Linked DNA regions of Schizosaccharomyces pombe. The gene in region 1 interacts genetically with each later gene. Each region holds a gene or a part of one and is shown on either strand. Other genes may lie near its edges.

Region 1 (7,970 bases):
GTATGAGCTATTGCTAGACGTGAAAGAAGAAACACTTGATGGTGCACTGGTAGGGATAACACTACTGTTAGAATAGAATGGTGGGGAGCTGGTAAACGTTGCCGAACCAGTACCAGTACCAGTAAATGTAACGGTGGTGTTTGAAGCAGTCAGAGTAGTAGTGTATGAGCTATTGCTAGACGTGAAAGAAGAAACACTTGATGGTACACTGGTAGGGATAACACTACTGTTAGAATAGAATGGTGGGGAGCTGGTAAACGTTGCTGAACCAGTACCAGTACCAGTGTATGTGATAGAAGTGTTTGAAGCAGTCAGCGTAGTAGTGTATGAGCTATTGCTAGACGTGAAAGAAGAAACGCTTGATGGTACACTGGTAGGGATGACACTACTGTTAGAATAGAATGGTGGGGAGCTGGTAAACGTTGCCGAACCAGTACCAGTACCAGTGTATGTGACAGAAGTGTTTGAAGCAGTCAGCGTAGTAGTGTATGAGCTGCTGCTGGAGGTGAAAGAAGAAACACTTGATGGTACACTGGTAGGGATGACACTACTGTTGGAATAGAATGGTGATGAGGAAACAGTTGCCGAACCAGTGGTAGTGGTACTTCCAGTAGTAGTAAGGTTAGTACTATAGGAAGGAGTGAAGCTACTGAGACTAGAAGAAGAGACTGTAACGGGTGTGGAAGTCGATGTAATAATAGACGTTGGCAAAACAGATGATGAAGACAGGCTGGCAGACGATATAACACTGGAAGGTAAGAAACTAGATGTGTTATAATAAGGAGAGCCTGTAGTAGTAGTAAACGATGAAGAGCTGGGAATCATAGACGTGTTTGTAATGGTGCTAAACGAAGAAGTGCTCGACGCTGGCGGAGGTAAGGTTACAATGTCGGTCGATGTGCCTGTCGAGACACTAACGTCTGTAGAGTATGGAAAACTAGAAGTAGCAGATGAATAAATGGTAGAATTCGCTGTCACAGTTATAGCAGTGCTTGGAATAGAAGTGCTAGCAGAAGCATGACCACTGTTGGTTTGTGAACTAGTGAAGGTAGTCATGCTTTGAAAAGTACTACCAGTAGTAGAAGAGATACCTTCGCCGCCAACAATATAAAAAGTACCAGATTGGGCGTAAATAACAGAGTCGTCGCGAATAGACGTAAAACTAATTTGGTAGCCATAACCTGGCGAAAGATCTAAAGCAGGAAATGTGGCATTTTCATCAAAAGTATTGATGGTCATTATGTAACGGCTTGTTGGTGGATACTCAACTTCGTTTATTAACCAGACATTAGCCTGCAGGGGATCAGTGCTGACCACACTCCATTCCAAGGGTTCAATATGTCCACTAGTCCAAACGTCTGAAGAAGAAGGAACATTAATTTCCATGCCAGCACAAAGCTTGGCTAAGCTAATTAATAGCCCGCTGATGGTTAATCTTCTCATTTCTCAAATAAATCCCTAGTTCGGCAATTGGCAGTGCACAGGCCTTCAGCAAGACGAATACCCAACTAAAAGTAGATGGTTAAGGAAAGAAAGTAAGCGAGAAAGGCGACTTAATATAGCACTTGGGTTTCTGATATGACCTAAGTGTATTAATGCTCAAAAGTGGGGCAATGCTGGAAACTGTATCGATGTAAACAAAAACAATCGAAAAATTGTGGATTCCAGAGAGACATTTATATTTGCACCTAAATTAGATAACGCATTCTTGGGTCGCGTTACTATGGTAACATTGGTCGACTTTGTGTAAATAAACATCCAGCACTACTGCAAGAAAGTACAAAAATGACGTTAAATGTAATTAAGGCACCACGTTAATTCAATGAATCTGCAGGTTCTTGGTTAAAAACCAGCAGAATGGCTGGTAAAAAAGGTTGGTTTCTCTCAAATTCACCTAAAGGCTGGATATATTGCCTGTTTAAGAGGCTGGTGTAAATATAAAACTGTTCATTTGAACAATTAGTGCACAACAATGTTAGATATGTTGCAATGATATTACCAATAAACGTAAGATGGTAAGTACGCATACCGATATGTGAAGAGCCCACCAAATATAAGATGGTCCTCCGTGACTCAAGGTATAAGTGGCATATATGTCGGAACTGAATTTTGACTGTTTCAATGAAGCCTTCTTCCATCGTTGGCCAATGAGTTTTTGAATCAGAAATGTAACAACCGAGGGTGTGTTCTTGGAGGACTCTGTAAGAACATCATTTGTCGCGATCAGTTTGACAAAACCAATATTTCCTCCAAAGTACCCCATTGCGCTGGGTAATGTATGTTCGATGGCACCGTTCGGGTGTTCGTAGTCACAACCCATATGATCATGGCCAGAAAGGACCAATTTGATGCTAGGAATCAATTCAAAAATTTTCATAGTAGTATTATACGATAAATGATTTTGAGACTTGACCCGAAAATCCAATTGACGAACGATTCTCGGTTCGTCAACACACACATTAGCTGGTTTGTAGAGTGGCACATGGGTGAACAGTATGGTTGGAATAGACGGCTCTAAAGCAATGTCGAAAAGAAATTGCCAAGCATCCCTAGCTTCTTTTGAAAGAGCAAGTATACCTAATGATGAAAAACTTTTACTGTTAATAATATCGCTAGGGTTCGCATCGTAAAACTGAACATCATCAAGCGAAAGGCTATTTATGCCGATCACACGGACAGGAAATTTAGAAACATTGAAGTGCGAAACCCAATTTACCGGGCCCATAGCTTGTTCCCATTTGCTAATTTGTGCGTCTGAACTTTCGCAGCCATAGCCAATGTCATGATTACCCGCAATCGTCCAAACGGGAATGTTACCGTTTTCAAAAGTACGTGCTGGTAAACTGGAGTTTCCTACTTGCCAAAAGTTTTTTGCCCCAGTGATTTTTTTCAGTCTTTTAGCTCTTTTGTTGAATTCTTCGTTATCCAAGTGCTGAAAACTGACCAAGTCACCCAACAGAATCATCGCATCTGGTTGACCCCAAAACTGATTCATATGTACAAGGTGTCGTAAAAACAAATCATTCCCCCAAAGATCTAAAGTGCCTTTAAAAAATCCATTTGCTTCGATTTTATGATTCCCTTCAATCTGAGGATCAGCAACCCCCATAATAACAAAAGAATTTTCATCTTCGAGTTGCAGCTTTCTTGGCATTATGCCAAATAGTAGAGGATAGGCATAGTAGACAGCTAAAAAAACTAGGCAAAGATAATGTAAAATAGACAGTTGTTTGTTCAACCATAATAAATTCGGATGTCTTGCAAACATTATTGACTTAATTATGTCAACGTAAATTAAAAAAGGGAACGGAGAGAAGGAGCGATTTTTGGAGTGCCTATTTTTACTTAGGAGCAGACTAAACGAGTAATGTAGAGGCGTAAGATTTTGGTTTTTGCTTTACTTACTAGATTATATAAATGGTATACCACCATAAAAGTGTCAATAAAGCTTTTTAGAAAGATTTGCTTTCAAATAACAAGAAATGAGCAGAACAGAATAGAAAAACAAAAAGCACAAATGAAACAACAAAACTTATTTTTCTAATCCATGAAGCTAGTAAATGGGTAATTTATAGGTATAGCTGCAGTATTCGAACAAACCCACTGCTAAAATTTAGATTGCAAATCAATGGTCAAATGATTGATTCAAAATTCCTGAAAAAGAAGCTTGGTTCTTAGAAAAATGTGTATCGATGTTTGCCGTTGAAATTTTTTTCTGAATTGAATTAATACCAAGTGTATCAGTATAACTGGCTTAAACAAATTAAAAAATAAGCTTTCTACTGAATGTAATAGCAAAAAACGGCTAATAATCTTGACCGAAGTTTGTTTAATGATGAACAACGGATATGACTGAAATTGCTTGAAGTGTATATCAAACTAAAGAAGGAATACCTCAAAACATGGAGTTGTGGCTGACAGTTTTCACGAAGAAAGGAATGGAAAAGAGCGTCGAATTTCAAACATAAACGTTTCTTTTAGAGCTCGTCTTAGCTGCCAAAGTTAACCCGGTACACTACTTAGTATTAATAGGTGAATTATGACTGACGTTTTTTACATTAAACGGATGGTAACATGTTACTTGAAAACAGCAGTCCAAAATTTTCGCTGCATAGACGGTAACGGAAATTGAGTATTTATTTTTTTTTGTAGAAGTTTTTACATAGCAATTTACTAAAATGTCCGACGATAGAATCAATTACCTTAAGAATAAACTTGTTCAATATCCAGATTTTCCCAAAAAGGGAATCTTGTTTGAAGATGTAAGATTTTATAGAAGGAGGAAATGCGCGAGGTTGGATAGGAACGGTGATATTATTTTGCTCAATTAGCGTGAAGTTTGAATCCAAAATACAATTCGAGAGGTTATATTATCTTTACGCCTTGCAATTGCTTAAATACTCTGTTAAATTATAAACAATAAGATGCTAATGTTATTAGATAATGCCCATTTTTCAAGATCCCAGAGCCTTTGGCATCCTTATCGATCTTTTGCTTGAAGCCGTTGAAACTGAATTCAATAACATTGATGTGATTGTTGGTTTGGAGGCGCGTGGATTTCTTTTTGGACCTACGTTGGCTTTACGTGCAAATTGTGCATTTGTCCCTGTCCGTAAGCCCAACAAGCTTCCCGGTGATTTGGTCGTCGTAAGCTACAATAAGGAATATTCTACTGATTCTTTTGCAATCCAAAAGGGTACTATTAAACCCGGTCAAAGAGTCTTAATAGTTGACGACATTCTTGCTACTGGTGGCACCGCCTTGGCTGCTGATGAACTCGTTACTCGTTTGGGTGGTGAATTAGTTGGACATCTCTTCCTTTTAGAACTTACATTTCTTCAAGGACGTAAGCGTCTTATGGCTCCTACTTATACACTTCTTACTGGACAGGATGAAGCACCTGATGGTAGTGAATTTGCTTAAACTATGAACTCGAAGTATGTATAAGCATTTCTAATTTTTAACGTTATATTTGCTTTATTCCTTTTTTATAAATGTTTAGGGTTCTGGGTTTTTTTCTATGGTTTATTCGTCAAGCTAGGATTTTTTTAGTCTAAGTTGTAAATTGAATAAGTTATACATTTTTCAACTAGTATTCTAAAAAGTAGGATTTTTGTTAGCAAATATATATAAATCGGGTGGAAATCGATATCTTAAAATGAAAAAAAAGAAAAAAGGATGCAACATCATAAGGAGAAAAGCTTATAAGGGTCATAAAGGGTATAATTTTTAGAATGGTCAATACCACGCTTTTCTTTAATATAAATAGGTAGATACATTCAGCTTATTATAAGCCTATTGACGAATCCACGTTATAATATAGCCCTCGATTAAAAGTATAATTACAAGAGAAAGCTGAATTATCCAAATATACTTTTATTAAGTATTGAATGGATAAACATCTATAGGCTTTGAAATCACGCAGCACAAATATTTTTTAAATAGTAAAAAGCATATATGACCGCAAGTCTATACACATGCGTAAATAAAAAATCACAAAACAGCGTTATTCCTAGCTGTTTATGCATTTCAGACACAAATATAGGTTTGAAACTGGAGTTCCTTGGAAGTACGAAGGGGCGTCAAAGTCTGATTGACGCACAGAGACGTTGGCCCATTTAGAAACAAAATTGTTTTCATTTTTTAAGAGAATAGTCGGAGGGATGTATGGTTTAACCCAATTGAATAGACTGTTTTGAGAATGAATATTTTCTAACGGATTAATAAATTCACCATCCGTGATGAGAATTAACAATCCTGCCTTATTGGTATTTTTTGCTTGCTGCACCCATGAGCAGTTGCCAAGTGGAGCAATATATGCTGTATCTTTGTCGAGAGTATCGGAGGGTTTTTGACACATACTGTTATTTAACAAGACTGTCTTAAAAACCTTTGAAGGTAAAGAATTATCGTTGTCAAATTGAAGGAATTTTCCAAACGTTTTTTGACCACTGTTCGGATTTTCTAGCTGAGCAATAGTTCGATCAAAGTACAATGCATCAGGTCTTGTGAAGGTCTCATAATCCGGATCGGTTAGGAAGACCGTGTCATTCTCATTTATAGATTCAGCTCCAGCAGTGTATAAAAACAGAGAATTAGAACCTTCTTTTTGAACGAATTTAAGTTTATTACCGATAATGTCGGATATGTATACATTATTGGTTACACGTTCCACTGATTTTATAGGACTAACAAGTGCACTTCCATAAAGGAGTTCAAAACCATCGGAATACTCTGGCCTCTTGCAAACACCCGATGGATCAATTAGATACGAGGGTATTGCTTTGTTATCAATTCCTACTAAATGAGAGACATAATCGTAATCGTCTCTAGATGCTATCAACGAATATAACATTGGCCATTTAGATCTGTCGTAATCTTCTGCAACACAAACTTCTCCACCGTCGTAAATTCTTTGAGAGGTAGACAGTCGTGTTTGATTTGTCACGGGAAACAAATGACCTTCTGTCGTAAAAATAAAATCATGGTGACTTCTGTGAATGGGATTATCATCGTCAAATAATAGAAACAAATATTTAAGGGTTTCGCTCAAAAAGAAACTTTCCATTCGATTCGAAAGTGTATACTTTTCTAGATTCTCTACTGCCGCAAATCCACAAGGAGTCCATAGGTGGTTTTCGATATTACTTAGCAGTAATTCACCGACATGAAGATAAAATACATCTTTAGTTGCCCTGTATAAATAATATGTAGACTCAGCAAATTCAGGACGTAAAGGATAACCGTTTAGTTCGATGGACTTTGTATACAAGTTGTAGCGCTCTGGTAATTGCCCAAACTTCAAATAAATAGAAAAATAGTACAAATGCATTTTCTTGGCAAGCTCCAGTTCGCCCGCCAATACCAATAACCCAGGGAAATAAGCACTCAAAGAATCAACCCAGCGCGACATCACCATGCCATTAGCTGAATAAACGTTTTGATAGTAATATTCGTTAAGAGAAGCGGTATAATGCCGTAATGATTCCAAAGACTTTTGCCAAACTTCTAAATACCGAGGATCTCCAAGAAAGATATAAGATTTAAAAGCATATTCGTAAAAGCTATCGATGCCTGCACCGACTCCTGAAACAGGATAAATCCATCTGCCACTCAAAACGTCGATACTATTGCCCAAAAGACCAATACCTGACCTTCGCTTCCATACGGAGAAAAAAGCGTTTTCAGCAGAAGCTTTAAACTTATTATTCCCAGTCAAAGCAGTAAGCATAGAAAATTCCAATACCAGGCTGGAGGCCGCAGCAGCACAGTTTTCGGTTACCTCACGATACGCGACACCCTTCATTAGATTGATTCTTGCAAAAGGAATTCCAGTAGGTGTTCGAAATGCAGGAAGTAAACGTTCTGCTAGTTCTGTAGCCAATGTCAATAATTCACCCTTATACAATGGGATTTGAAATCCATATTTTTCTTCTGAGGCAAAAATATGAGATGAAAGTAGTCCTCCAAGAATTCGGATGGTTGCTTCGAAAACTTGTACTTTTGTGTCTCGTTCAAAATTAATATGATGAATGACTTTGTCAACAGCATCCTGAAACCCTTCTCGGTCTCCCAAAACCACCAAGGTATCTAAAACATCGACCAATGTCAACAAATAATCACCTCGAACATCGTTGACACCAATGTTGTTAGGATTTTCGTAGTCCGGTCCCAACCCTTCGCAGGACAATGGGGCGAGCTCATCGTTAGGAAAGGCAAATTGCATGTAATTGTTATATCCATGATAAAACAGTCTCCGAGAAGTTTCCCTAGTAAAAGTTAGCTTTTTAAAATTTCCGTAGAGTAAGAAACATTATGTATCAAACCTTAGCTCTACCATTCTCGCGGAGTTTATGGCCCCAACGATTGAGTTTTCTTTAAAAATGCATAGTAAAATCAAACAAACACAGAAAATCGAGTGCAAGCTACCCATTTAATATATGGGTTTATGATTTTATACCGTATTTTAC
Region 2 (4,420 bases), 3.3 Mb from region 1:
ATTGGTTCTGTGGAGTTGGGAAATATGATTCCTAAGGAAACCCAGCCGCCCTCAATGCGAAATGATTGGAAAGATTATTTAGATAATAATTCCAAGGAAATTCTCGATCAATTTGGTTTTTTACAAAAACGACCAAGTCACGACACCCCTTTATGTCCGGAGGACATAAAATTAAATCAGAAACAGACTCTGTCGTTCTATGAAAGCAATTATGGCTTGGTTGATGATTTTTTTGGCAACGAGTTAGATGGGCTCAACGATTCTCCATTGTTGCTAAATAAAAAAGATATTTTATTGGATATGAAAGAAAGTACCCGACAAAAAAACTGGAGCTTGTTTTTTCAACGCTTGTACAAAAAATATAAAATTACCGATGAGGATACAATTGGTTTACTAGGAATATCTAGCATAGGTGTTAAAGGGCGTCATGGTAAAAAAAGATGGCATAAATTTCGTGAACTTGTGAAAAATGGTGTTCCTTTGTGCTATAAAGCTAAAGTTTGGTTAGAGTGCTCAGGCGCTTATCAATTACATTCACCTGGCTATTATGAAGAACTATTATCACGTACTGATGAGGTTGAATCAGCGAGTGTTGCGCAAATCGATATGGATATTAACAGGACTATGGCTAAAAATGTATTTTTTGGAGGAAAAGGACCTGGAATCCCGAAATTACGACGAATTTTAGTTGCTTATAGCCGCCACAATCCACACATAGGCTATTGTCAAGGAATGAATGTTATTGGTGCCTTTCTTCTTTTATTATATGCTTCAGAAGAAGACGCGTTTTATATGCTAATGAGCATAATTGAAAACGTTTTACCTCCGAAATACTTTACTCCTGACCTGATGACTTCGCGAGCTGATCAGCTGGTTTTGAAAAGCTTTGTGAAAGAGTCATTACCGGAAATCTATTCCCATTTAGAATTACTTGGGGTTGATTTGGACGCCATTTCATTTCATTGGTTTTTAAGTGTATATACTGATACACTCCCTACGAATGTACGATAAGTGGTTTTGAAAGATTATTAAAGTATGAATTGTTTACTAACTACTTTTTTTTAGATATCTTTTAGAATATTTGACATGTTGTTTTGTGATGGTTATGTATGCTTATTTAGAGTTGCACTTACGATTCTAAAATCTTTAAAGCAACAAATTTTAGCATGCAATTCCTCTTCTGCCATCTACTCATTTTTGAGTGATTTGGTTCAATACTCTTTTCAACCCGATTCGTTTATTAAAGAGGCTGCTGATCGGTGGTCCAAACTTGTTACGGAAAAGAGTATTGAACGGAAACGTAACTTGGCTATTTCTTCGTTAAACTTAGCGGTCAATTATTGAGTTCTTTGTTTTGTTTTACTGGTTTGATTCGTGATCGTTGGTAAGTTATGATCTTTAATAAATAAAAAAGCTTTTTGTTGCCTCATGGGCATCTTATTCATTTTTATGTTGGGTTACTCATGAATATAATTTTTTAATGTTTTCCATCACTGTATACTATGACTGGGTTATTTTAATGCTGTTTCAGGAGTCCATTTCATTATAATTTGGAAGTATAGAATGTAAAATCTTTTTTGAAAACTCTTGTATGAAGCTAGGCAATCCATGCATAACTTTCACTTATAGTTTTTGATTTGTTTGGTTTAATAAACATAGACAGATTCTTGCTCTTCATATATTTTCCTGTATGCTATATAAACATTGCTCTTACGGTTTGTGAGGTACAACGATCGATAACGCAGTCGGTTATATTTCTAGTATATCATAAGTGTCAGTGTCTCAGTAATGTCATCCGGTGTACTTTCCGCCATACACAAAAATATCAGTGGAATTGAATTGTATTGCGACCGACTCGTAGCACTTTCAAAAGCAAATGAATGAACTTCATGATGGTGAGAGCTCTGAGGAAGGAAGGATCAATGTTGAAGATCACCTAGAAGAAGCTAAGAAAGATGACACAGGACACTGGAAACATTCCGGCACTGCCAAGCCATCCAAGTTTCGAGCCTTCATAAGGCTGCATTTTAAGGATAGCAGAAAGTTTGCTTTTTCTCGAAAGAAGGAAAAAGAATTGACGTCGGAAGATAGCGATGCTGCAAATCAATCACCTTCTGGTGCACCTGAGTCGCAGACCGAGGAAGAGTCTGATCGCAAAATTGATGGCACTGGTAGTTCCGCAGAAGGTGGTGACGGGAGTGGTACTGATTCAATTTCCGTAATAAAAAAATCGTTTTTTAAAAGTGGGAGGAAGAAGAAAGATGTTCCCAAGTCGCGAAATGTTTCTCGTAGTAATGGTGCTGATACCTCAGTTCAGCGAGAAAAGTTAAAAGATATTTTCAGTCCTCATGGGAAGGAAAAAGAATTGGCTCATATTAAGAAAACTGTTGCAACGAGAGCGAGAACATATTCTTCCAACTCTATCAAGATATGTGATGTTGAGGTTGGTCCATCTAGCTTTGAAAAGGTTTTTCTACTTGGCAAGGGAGATGTCGGTCGAGTTTATCTTGTTAGAGAAAAAAAGTCTGGCAAATTTTATGCCATGAAAGTTTTGAGTAAGCAAGAAATGATTAAACGCAACAAAAGCAAACGAGCTTTTGCAGAACAGCACATTCTTGCGACAAGTAACCACCCATTCATTGTTACACTTTATCATTCTTTTCAATCTGATGAATACCTTTATTTATGTATGGAGTATTGTATGGGAGGTGAGTTTTTTCGAGCTTTGCAACGACGTCCTGGCCGTTGTTTATCAGAAAACGAGGCCAAATTTTACATTGCAGAAGTTACCGCTGCATTAGAATACCTCCACTTGATGGGATTTATTTATAGAGATTTGAAGCCTGAAAATATTTTGTTGCATGAGTCAGGACATATTATGCTTTCTGATTTTGATTTATCTAAACAATCAAACTCTGCCGGTGCACCAACGGTAATTCAGGCCAGGAATGCACCATCCGCTCAAAATGCTTACGCATTGGATACAAAATCATGTATCGCAGATTTTCGCACAAATTCATTTGTCGGCACAGAAGAGTATATTGCTCCAGAAGTTATCAAGGGTTGTGGTCATACAAGCGCTGTTGACTGGTGGACTTTGGGTATTTTATTTTATGAAATGCTATATGCCACGACTCCTTTCAAAGGTAAAAATAGAAACATGACTTTTTCGAATATTTTACACAAGGATGTTATATTCCCTGAATATGCGGATGCTCCTTCAATTTCCAGCCTTTGCAAGAATTTGATTAGAAAATTATTAGTGAAAGATGAAAATGATCGCCTTGGGTCACAGGCTGGTGCTGCAGACGTGAAGCTTCATCCTTTTTTTAAAAATGTCCAATGGGCTCTATTAAGGCACACTGAGCCTCCGATTATTCCAAAGCTTGCCCCTATTGATGAAAAAGGCAATCCTAATATTTCCCATCTAAAGGAAAGTAAAAGTTTGGATATTACTCATTCTCCCCAAAACACACAAACAGTTGAAGTTCCCCTATCTAATTTATCGGGTGCAGATCATGGAGATGATCCCTTCGAATCGTTTAATTCAGTTACTGTGCATCATGAGTGGGATTAGGTCATTTTCTTTTCTTCCTGTAACTTGCATATTGATGGTAATTTTTCGCACGTCTATGATATTTTTCTCATCTTTTTGTTTAATCAATCCATTATTAAAAGAGCATTTGCTGACTTCATTCATTGCATATATTGATACGTTGTTGAGGCACAAAATATTTCGCTTAACTAGATTCTCCTTTTCACCACAAAGTCTTTCTTTTTTCTACCTTACTTTTACCAGATTCAGACATGCTTTCTCTATTTTCAATAGGAAGTTAAATAAACTTCTAGACAGAATATAACATATACCATTCTAATAACATATTTTGTAAAATAACCAAAAACCACCTTAACAAAATTACCATTAACTAAACCGTCTCTATATCGTAAACGATATGTGACACTCGTGGTGAAAATGATTTGACACAATTTGTAACACAAACTGTATTTTTAGCCAACATTTTTGAAAAACATGAATTCACTTCAGAAGAGTATGTTTCGATATCTTCATCTTTTACGTTCTCATGAACATGTATAAAGGAATGTGATTCTCGCTTTAAAATTGAAGTAGCGGTTGACCAGGATTTTTCACTAGAGGGGAGCATTCCCAAATTTATATGTCGAGCAGAAATATTCATTTTGGAGAACCTTTCAGCTGCATAAACGTTGCTTTCCAAAAAAACTACAATACGATGAGTTCCTACTTTAAATTCATAGTTTTCTCCATTTCGAACTACATAAATAGACCAGCCATTTTTCAAAGCAGCTCTCCTTAACGCTTCAACACTCCATGGATTAATTTCCCAGCAAAAAACTGTTGAAGCTCCCGCTTTAACGTAAGAAAATGTAAAGTACCCTATAC
Region 3 (3,732 bases), 3.1 Mb from region 1:
GGAGTCATAAGTAGACCATCTTAGTTTGCTGAAAGTTTTTCAGCGACTTTAAAACTTTAATTGGATGAGAAATGTAATCGGTAATTCTTTCATTCTGGAAAGTATACTGCAGAATCTCATATATACATATATATCATAATTCTTATACTAGTAAAATGTTTGTGATTGATTCAATTAATATTTTATGGTTAGGTTTCAAAAGAATGTTTTGTTTTTATTATTGTTTAATTCATTTTTTTGTCCTCATTAAAAATTCTTTTGGTAGAGTCATTACTAAGTTTTTGCTTCGTAGACTACATGAAAGAAGCTGGTGAGGCGAAGTAATATTATGATTCAATACTACCTAAGATATAGCAAACATCAAAAGGGTACAAAATTCTAGGAAATCATCTGGCAACGTTAGATATCAATATGTAAATAGAAATAGAAAAACATGTAAATCTAATTACATACTAAGTCAATAAATGGAAAGGAGTCTGGTAATTTTTGATTAATTAGCAGTGGTTTACAAACGAATAGTTACTAGTTATTGCAAATCAAAATTAGTGTCGATGACATGTGTAAGCTTGACATTCATTTTATTTCAAAATAGAAAAGTAAAGATAAGAGCAAAATTTTCATTTCGTATACGAAACTAGCAAACAACTACAACGACGTGAACAGCAAAAACGAGTGTATTTGAAGTAAATTATTTGTGAGATGATAGTACCAATCAACCCAACTGAACAAACAACGTTTCAAAAGGGAGGTGGTAAGAAATTGCAAAGCAAAAAAAACAAGTCATTTGAAAAGAAAGGAGTGAATGACTAGATGCGAGACTTCCAAATTTTCTGGATTTATCGTTCTAAAAGAATAAACCGAAAAAAAACAAACTTGGGAATGCTAAAGAGACTCGAAATGTAAATTAGCAAAAAGTTTGCAAAGGATATATAAAATCGCTCACATTGTTCCTTTATAGCAACTGAAGGTAGAGCGGGTAAATAATGCATGTAATACCAACCATAGAAATAGAAATACGTGACCAAAAGAGTAAAACCAACGGGGAAAAATGAAATGGGAATGATGAAAACGAAAAAAAAAAGTAAAATCTTTTCAGAGACAAACTCTTCTGAGTCTAGATATGTTGTTTAATGGTTCTTCTTAGCAGAGTTAGCGATGTATTCTCTATCATCATCACCTTCAACTTCATTACGAATAGCCTCGTACTCCATCAATTCGACACGAAGAACATCCTCGTTTTGGCGAAGATCTTTGTCAAACCATGCCTCATCGGGGGCCCGGAAAGAGTTGCCGAGGCGATCAAAGAGGGTGGTGAATTGGCCGTAATTGTAGTTGAAATAAATGTGATGGCCATTATGGTGAGCAGCACCATTGATGATGGGGTTGTTGGAGATGTATTTACCATCGTGAATCATGATGGACCAGAAGTTGACAAAGGTGAAAAGAGCCAAGTAGGTCAACTTGTGAAGGGGAAAGAAAAAGGGGAAAAGATGGTAAGGAAGAGATTGTAAGAAGCCATCAGCGGATTTGAAAGCATGGGATGCATATGGAGTGCAGATAATCCACTTATGATGGAGTTTGTGAAGACGAGGGTATACATAACGGTGATGAAGGAAACGATGAGCCCAGTAAATGCCAAAATCTGAGAACATGACAAAAAGAGGTAAGGAACATAAGAAGTATTTTAAACCGTAATCACTGATGTTGTCGTATAAGTAGCTGTACCCATGCAACTCAGCCAAAAACCACGGAACCGTCAATAACGCCATACCAGGTAAGTTTTGTAAAGCCGTTAGAACTTCCATGAACACCTGGTTTTTTAAGAACTTTGGGTGATCCATCAGACTTTTATCAAACACAAATTGGTAGGAAAGCGACGCAAATGTTAAATACAAGAACATACCGCCAAACCAAGTTAAAAAAAACAAACTGATCGACTGTCTAACGATATTGTCGCGAGCTAATGGATATACAGCATTGTATATCGAATCCAGCGCATATTGGTCAGCATAGTTGAGTAGGTAGTCCATTGAGGTGTTTGCTTAAAATCTATTGACCGGTGGTAGCGTATAAGAAGTACCAAAAAATGGTCTGATTTTGATTGCGATATCTAGTTGGCTGCTATTAATTAGTCAATAGGAAACCGAGTTATCTTTTTCGTTAAAGTTTTTATCAAAAAACAAAGAGGTGGCTTATACACTTCGGTTAGTGAGAGGTAGATAGGGCAGATCGGAAAGGACATCACTGTGGCGGGAAGAATCTCTTACACTTACTATGTGGGGGAATAGTACTACGGGGGCTCGCTATTCAACAAGTACAACGAGGTTGGACATGAATGTTTGATATCGAGCAAGTGGGTATATATTAGTCGAAAATAATCAACTTTACGATACAAGATCTAATCTTAAAACTATTATAAGTAAATGAGATGAAAAATTAAATAAGAAAGATAAAAAATTGAAAAAAGAAGGTTAACATTCCTCCATCTCGGGTTTGTTCTCAAAGGCTTAGAGGTTACGCTAGATTGCTATTCTTAGACTTGGACTAATTTGGTACCCCCATTTTGTTCTTTTTAATCCACTTGCATTTGTAAGTCTAGGAACGATAATGGTATTTCTCAAGAGTATGCAATATGTTGCTGATGTTTTAAGACGATAAATACGCAGTTAGAACATAGTCGTTTAAAAAAAAAAAAAAATAAATAAAGTAAAATAATAAAATTATTTAAAAACAAAAATTTTGGACAAGCCAGAACTCGAATCTGGGACCTCTTCCATGCTAAGGAAGCGTGATAACCATCTACACCACATGCCCATGTTGAAATACTCGCATATAATATAGTATATAATTTACATACTTTACATTTTCATTATATCTTAAATACAACACTTTTAAAATGGAAATAGCGATTATTCAGAAATCATAATGTTGCTCGCGCATAAAGTAAACATACAAATAGTAGCTTGTAGCCCAATTTTTTTTTTAAAAAAAAAAAAAAAAAAAAAAAAAAAAAAACTAATGAGATAAAACATTTATTACTTAGTTTTAAGAAATAACAAGAAAAGCTCGAATGGCTTGGCAAACCAGGAAACGCCTGCGAATTCCTGAAATTTTCGTAATATTATTCGTGCCCTTGATTAGGGAAATCATTCATCTAACATTTTAGATAAACAAAAGACAGTGACTATTCGCCATCCCTAGTCTTTCACAAGCTCAATAGAAATCGACTTGTAAAGATAGAAAAGGAATCAATAGGCAGCAGTCAATCAGAAAACAAGTGTGGTATTTATTTACTTTTTTTTCTTTTCTTATTCTCTTCAGGCGTCATACTGTAGAAAAATCTGTAACGAAGAAGTATACATGTCCAATCAAAGCACTAATTAAATCAAGCAGTGGAAAGATCCCAGTTCGTAACCAGCGCAATAATACCATTACCCATGGAACATAAGGTGCTTTTACGTCGAAAAGACCTAGTATCGAGATTCTGTACAGTGGATGTTTCCACGACCATATGTATAACATGGTAAATGAAAAGTAAGAAGCTGCAAATGGCATGTAGGAAAAATAGGAGGTAACTAAAAGAGAAAACCATACTATCAATACCGTTTTTAAGAAGCTCTGTGTTTGAGGCGGCGGACTAGATCTTTCTAACATACTCATGAAACGAAGTAGAAACGACAAATATAAAATCAACTCTAATCCAAAAGGCCCAACATAAAGGAATGTAGTTAT

The links.
Region 2: mutations in apt1 (region 1) and ppk14 together harm fitness more than expected from each alone (negative genetic interaction), as found in Schizosaccharomyces pombe (one large-scale study listed by BioGRID).
Region 3: mutations in apt1 (region 1) and erg31 together harm fitness more than expected from each alone (negative genetic interaction), as found in Schizosaccharomyces pombe (one large-scale study listed by BioGRID).

The regions. Positions count from the first base shown.
Region 1 is NC_003424.3:4,079,508-4,087,477, forward strand, and holds apt1 (adenine phosphoribosyltransferase), read left to right. Parts: upstream 1-4,148; 5' UTR 4,149-4,178; coding exon 4,179-4,262; intron 4,263-4,302; exon of another isoform or gene 4,303-4,440; coding exon 4,441-4,923; 3' UTR 4,924-5,089; downstream 5,090-7,970. Other genes in the region: protein adg2, read right to left, coding at 1-1,443; ted1 (phosphoprotein phosphatase), read right to left, coding at 1,976-3,268; alpha mannosidase Mnl1, read right to left, coding at 5,513-7,769, 7,827-7,933.
Region 2 is NC_003424.3:768,747-773,166, forward strand, and holds ppk14 (serine/threonine protein kinase Ppk14), read left to right. Parts: upstream 1-1,793; 5' UTR 1,794-1,876; coding exon 1,877-3,577; 3' UTR 3,578-3,920; downstream 3,921-4,420. Other genes in the region: SPOM_SPAC4G8.04 (GTPase-activating protein), read left to right, coding at 1-1,002, 1,066-1,344; tRNA 4-demethylwyosine alpha-amino-alpha-carboxypropyltransferase Trm12, read right to left, coding at 3,927-4,420.
Region 3 is NC_003424.3:931,925-935,656, forward strand, and holds erg31 (C-5 sterol desaturase Erg31), read right to left. Parts: upstream 2,045-3,732; 5' UTR 2,031-2,044; coding exon 1,128-2,030; 3' UTR 501-1,127; downstream 1-500. Other genes in the region: SPOM_SPAC1687.17C (Der1 family protein), read right to left, coding at 3,325-3,732. UniProt on the Schizosaccharomyces pombe protein: C-5 sterol desaturase; part of the third module of ergosterol biosynthesis pathway that includes by the late steps of the pathway. Erg31 and erg32 catalyze the introduction of a C-5 double bond in the B ring to produce 5-dehydroepisterol.